2 separate regions of the Mus musculus genome follow, and region 1 is reported to be linked to region 2. Evidence: microRNA targets listed by miRTarBase, many of them from high-throughput screens and not tested one by one. Region 2 holds a microRNA gene; the other region holds the end of a gene's coding sequence.

What was found. Region 2 holds the annotated microRNA mmu-miR-466a-3p (UAUACAUACACGCACACAUAAGA, at 1,526-1,548, opposite strand). A microRNA usually pairs through its seed, bases 2 to 8, with sites in the 3' UTR of a target mRNA and lowers its output. Matches are read on the target gene's strand: a 7mer-m8 pairs with bases 2 to 8, a 7mer-A1 pairs with bases 2 to 7 and ends in A, and an 8mer does both.
Region 1: the mRNA of Tigd5 is a reported target of mmu-miR-466a-3p. Seed matches in the 3' UTR shown: 7mer-m8 at 2,887-2,893, 7mer-m8 at 2,895-2,901, 7mer-m8 at 2,899-2,905 and 8mer at 2,903-2,910.

What each region holds. Positions count from the first base shown.
Region 1 is chr15:75,911,043-75,914,184 of GRCm38, forward strand. Tigd5 (tigger transposable element derived 5) reads left to right here. Exons shown (of 1, transcript NM_178646.4): 1 at 1-3,142. The coding sequence ends at 677. Among named protein-coding and RNA genes, the nearest start is that of Tigd5, 2.9 kb to the left of the region's middle.
Region 2 is chr2:10,482,425-10,485,566 of GRCm38, reverse strand. It overlaps Mir466c-2 (microRNA 466c-2), which reads right to left and starts at 1,601; the gene lies at 1,512-1,601. All of the region lies in intron 10 of Sfmbt2 (Scm-like with four mbt domains 2), which reads right to left. Mir467a-3 (microRNA 467a-3) reads right to left here and starts at 1,889; the gene lies at 1,807-1,889. Mir669a-6 (microRNA 669a-6) reads right to left here and starts at 1,371; the gene lies at 1,285-1,371.

The sequences.
Region 1 (3,142 bases), not on the chromosome of region 2:
GCCGAGCACACATCCCTGCACCGTTGGAGCACGGCGTGGTGGCAGCCTTCAAGCATTTGTACAAACGCGAGCTCCTGCGGCTTGCTGTGTCTTGTGCCAGTGGCTCCCCTCTGGACTTCATGAGAAGCTTCGTTCTCAAGGACATGCTGTACCTGGCTGGCCTCTCTTGGGACTTGGTCCAGGCAGGCAGCATAGAGCGCTGCTGGCTGCTGGGTCTGCGAGCAGCCTTTGAGCCTGGGCAGCAGCCAGCTCACCAGGTAGAGGAGACTGCCGAACACAGCAGGGTGCTCAGTGACCTCACACATCTGGCAGCTCTGGCTTACAAGCGCCTGGCACCTGAAGAGGTGGCCCAGTGGCTACACCTGGATGATGATGGAGGCCTTCCGGAAGGCTGCAGAGAAGAGGTGGCCCCCGCTGCTCCTCCATCCCCAGCTAGCCTGCCCTCTAGCATCGGGGCTGGAGAGGAGGAGGAGGAGGCCACCGAACAAGGAGGAGTGTTGGTACCTACTGCTGGGGAAGCTGTCTGGGGACTAGAGACAGCTCTGAGGTGGCTAGAGAGCCAGGATCCCAGAGAAGTGGGGCCGCTGAGGCTTGTGCAGCTACGTTCTCTCATTACCATGGCACGGAGGCTTGGGGGTATTGGGCCCTCAGCTGTAACTTCTGATGATGGTGTGTGACTACCTTGGCCCAGTGGTCTTTTTCCTGCCTCACTGGGAGAGAGGGGGCACATACAGTCTGCCATCTTCCACCTTTTCTCCCCGGTAGTCCACTGTATGGGTCCGGGGATGCAAGCCCAGCCCAGTTTGGAGGAGTTCTATAAGTAAAGGATGTACTGCCCCAATCCACAGGGTCTGGGGAAGTGGCTATGTTCTTCCCTGGGTAGGCACATGTGGGCACATAAGCACAGCCCCTACTGGAGAACAGTTGACTGTACTTCCACTCTGGCCCCTATGGGGCTCACACACACACACACACACCTACCTGCCTCCGAGTGCACTGCCTGAGGCTGCTGCTGTTTCATCTGCTTCCCTGGTGCTACCTGGTCTCATCTCAGTGGGGAAGCATTTGGTTCTTGGTTTTGTTTTAAAAACATTAAACCTGTTTGGAAAGATGCTCTTCCTGGGGAACCCATGAGTGCTGACTGACAGGGTGAGGTGGTCTCTGGGGCTCTCTTGCCCTTGCTCTGATAACTCAGGTCCTTATGGTGCTGGATCAAAGCCCAGGCTAGGCTCCATCCAGTCCCTGGTGAGCCCGGTGCCTGGTGAGGTTTTGGATGCAGCAGAGAGTATAGCAAATTCTGTTCTACTTGGATTTTTAGTCCCTCCCACTCCCCAGCCCCCTTTAAGTACTCCATTCTGGATAGGTCTTCTATTCATGAGGTTAGCAAGTGTTTGGATCAATGGGCAGGACAAACCACAAAGCACTTTGTTTAGCTCCAGGGCAGTCTGATCTACCTGGAAACATGCCCTAGCCTTTGCAACCATCTGGGAACTCTGCAGTGCCTTAGAGTCAACCTCTAGCCCCATGGGCTCTTCCTGCACCAGCCTTCTCCAGGAACTATGGCTGGATAGCCCAGGTTGAAGGAGAAAAGGCTCAAAGGAATGTCCACATTTTGTATCTGCTGCTCTGCCCAGCTGTGGATTCAGATGACTGCTGGCCGTCTGGAGCTAAGGCACCTGCGTCTTAAGGAGGGGCACTGTGTCTTTGCAGGAATTCCATCCAGAGCCTTTGTCCCGGTCCTCCTTGTCTTTATGTCTCCTACTCTGAGCCTTGCAAACATGAAGTGGAGAAGGGATGTAACAGCTTGGCAATGGGCAAAGCCTTGAGTGACGTATCCAAAAGTGATTTCCACCTAGGCCCAAGAATATAGTTCCTTGGAGCCACGACTACATCCCAGTCAAAAATCTGCATAAATATCAAAAGCTGAGGGAAAGCATAGAGCAACAGAACTGGAGCTCAGGTAGCAGGCTCCATCTATGCACACTAAGGACCATCTGACCACCTAAGTACCCAGCCTCCCCAAAGATGACCTAGAAAACCTTGGGCAATCGTGGCTGGTGGGGGTCTCCAGCACTAGCTACTTGGCTGGGTTTTCAAAAGTCTAATGTGTTTATACCAGCAGCCTCCATATCAGCCAGATACCCAGGTTAGGAACTACCATCCAGCTTTGACAGACCTGCTTTCAAATCTGCAGAGAGCCAGATCTGGGCCTTGGAGGTACACTCAAGGCTGGGTAGCTTCTAGTAGCTGCTCTTCAGCCTAGGTTACATGTACTGTTCTTTTGAAGAGGTTCCGATCTGGCCTGGGCTCAGGTAGACTGGAGTTGGCAGAGACTAGGGCTCAGGAGTAAGACCCCTCTCACCAGCCTCTCTAAAAGCCCCTTTTACTTGGGCCCAGGAGGTTATGACCTCATATTGCTGCTGCCTTATAAACAAGCAAGTACGGCCTGGCTGAGTGACAGGGTTCCTGTCAGGTTTGTGTTCGTGTACTACCATTAACGGGGCTAGGGAGATGCCCATGAGGCTCAAAGGTGTCATCTCAGGCTAGGGATGTAGTGCAGTGGTAGGATGTCTGCCTAGGATGCCAAAGGCCCTAGGTTCAAACAACTGCACTGTAAAAAGAAGAGAAAAGTACACTTAGAAACATTCTGGTGTTCTTTACATGCTCTAGGCGGGGGTTCAGATAGCTGCGTCCTGGTTGTGGAGGAGGCTACTTTGCCCAGGTTGTCCAGCAGGGAGTCCTATAGCTCTGAGGCTTACAGTGCCGAACAGCCCAGTGCACAGAGGCCTCAGCCCCCATGGCAGTTCACCTTTCTGTACTCAGTATCTGATGGAGCTTCACAGGGCTCATGGCCCCCCCAGGAGAGAACCTTACACTCTCACTGTATATGTATTTATGTATGTATGTATATATATATATATATATATATATATATATATATATACACTCACCCATTGGTGGTGTACCGCGCTCCCTGTGGGCAGGCACTGAGCTGCATGAACTAATGAGGTTGAAACTGTAGTTCCCTTCTTCAGCAGCCATTGCCACCTGCTGTGTACCAGGCCTCACTCAGGAATCCCAGTTCACTTGCCCCCAGAGCTCGGCCTGTTCCCCAAAGTGTGGTGATCCTTTGGCTTGGGAA
Region 2 (3,142 bases):
ATATATATATATATATATATGCATGTTCATATACGCGCATGTACAGGCATACTTCCCTATACACATAAACACAAACACAGGGAAAATCACATGAATTCCGGGCTGATCTCTAACTCATCATAAAGTTAAACATGAATTTGAACTGCTCATCCTCATGATGCTGGCAAGAGTATTCACCTCCTAACTGAGTCATAGCACGGGCCATTCGTGGGAGTATGTTTGCATGTGAGTATATGCATATTCATATACAGAAGTGAATATGTACACAACTATACACACATGCACATTCTTGGTGGGCATCACATGAATCGCATGCTGAACTCTAACTCATCATGAAGTTAAACATGAATTTGAACTCCTCATCCTCCTGACACTGGCAAGAGTGCTCACCTCCTAACTGAGACATAGCTCTGGCCATTCCTATGAATGTGTGTGCATGTGTGTATATGCATATTCATATAGAGAAGTGAATATGCACACAACTATACACACATGTACATTTTGGTGGGCATAATATGAATCCCATGCTGATCATGAACTCATCATGAAATTCAGCACGAACTTGAACTCCTGATCCACCTGACTCTGTCAAGGGATTTCACCTACTGAGTGAGACCTCTCCCCATTCAGTACTGAAAAATCTTAAAACTCTAAGTCACATGTCATTCAAATGGATCGATGAGTTGCACTGATGTTTTTGTGTGTGTTTCTGTTTGTGTCTGTGTACATGTACATATTTGTGTAGATAGGTACATCCATATACTCAAATCCACACACAATAGAAACAGATACAGATAGGGATACATAGGGGACATCACATGAATCCCAGGCATATCTCTAAGTCATCATGAAGTAAAGCATGAATTAGAACTCCTGATCCACAATCTTTCACACCTGATGAGTAAAACCTTTCACTGTCCCACTACTTCATAATCTTGAAAACTTTGAGTCACATGTCATTCAAACGTATAAATGAATGCAATTTTTTCCTGTGTGTGTGTGCTTGCATAAACACGTGTGTTTATGTTATGTATATCATGTCAACACATACAATGCACATACAAGTAAGCACACATGCACATACATGGGTTGCATGACATTAATACCAAGATGATCTCCAAATGAAGTTAAGCTTGAATTTGCAATCCTTATCCTCCTGACTTTGTCAATCTTTTACACCTGGTGAGTGAGTCCATTCAATGTCCCCTATTGCATAATCTCTAAAACTCTACATCACTTATCATTCAAAGGGATTGGCGAATGCCATTCCTGTGTCTGTGTATGTGTGCTTGCGTTTATACGTGTGTGTGTATGTTATGTATATTCAAATATAGACATGAACATGCACACACAACTATACACACATGCACATACATGGAGGAATCACAGGCTGATCTCTCATGAGGATAAGTGTAAATTTGAACTCCTGATACTCTTAACTCTAGCAAGCATTTTCACTCTAAGTCACTTATCATTCAAATGGATTGACGAGTGCCATTCCCCTGTGTCTGTGTGCTCATATGTGTCTTATGTGTGCGTGTATGTATATGTATATCATATTCACATATGTACATGCACACACACATCAACACATATACACATACGTAGGGGCAATCACATGAATGCCAGGATGACCTCTAACTCATCATGCCTTTACTATGAACTTGCACTCCTGATCTTCCCGACTCTACCAAGGGTTTTCCCGTGGTTTGTGAGACCTCACCCTGGCCCAGTCATACATAACCTCCAAAGCAGTAGGTCACATATCATTCAAATGGATCCGTGAAGGCCATTTCCGCATGTCTGTGTGCATGTGTGTGTAGGTGTGTGTATGTATATGCATAAAATATACACGCATATACATGCAGGCACTTACGCACACGGGCACATACATAGGGGCCATCACATTATTCCAGGATGATCTCTAACTGCTCATGAAGTTAAGCATGAAATTGAACTCCTGATCCTCCTGACACTGCCAATTATTTACACCTGGTGAGTGAGACCTTCACTGTCCCTCTACTTTATAATCAGCAAAATTCTAAGACATATATCATTCAAATGGATCAATGAGTGTCATTCTTATGTGTGTGAGTGTGCACGCCTGTGTGTGTGAATACATTTGTATGTGTGTGTATTTATATGTATGATCATATACACACATGTACGTGCACACACAATTATATGCACTTGTGCATACCTAGGATCCATCACACAAATACAGGGTGATCTCTAACTCATTATGAAGTTAAGCATGAATTTGAACTCCTGAGACTCCTAACTCTGGCAAGTGGTTTTCATCTGATAAGTGAGATTATTCCCTATACCATGAATATACACTCAATGAAATTATAAGCACGTATAAATCAAATGGATGACTGCCATGTGTGTTTGTGTGCACATGTATGTGTCCCTAGTTGTGTGGGTGTGTATACATATATATATATATATATATATATGCATGTTCATATACGCGCATGTACAGGCATACTTCCCTATACACATAAACACAAACACAGGGAAAATCACATGAATTCCGGGCTGATCTCTAACTCATCATAAAGTTAAACATGAATTTGAACTACTCATCCTCATGATGCTGGCAAGAGTATTCACCTCCTAACTGTGTCATAGCTCAGGCCATTCGAGGGAGTATGTTTGCATGTGAGTATATGCATATTCATATACAGAAGTGAATATGTACACAACTATACACACATGCACATTCTGGTGGGCATCACATGAATCGCATACTGAACTCTAACTCATCATGAAGTTAAACATAAATTTGAATTCCTCATCCTCCTGACACTGGCAAGAGTACTCACCTCCTAACTGAGACATAGCTCTGGCCATTCCTATGAATGTGTGTGCATGTGTGTATATGCATATTCATATAGAGAAGTGAATATGCACACAACTATACACACATGCAAATTTTTGGTGGGCATAAGATGAATCCCATGCTGGTCATGAACTCATCATGAAATTCAGCACAAATTTGAACTCCTGATCAACCTGACTCTGTGAAGGGACTTCACCTGCTGAGTGAGACCTCTCCCCATTCAGTACTGAGGAATCTTAAAACTCTAAGTCACACGTCATTCAAATGGATCGATGAGTTGCACTGATGTTTGTGTGT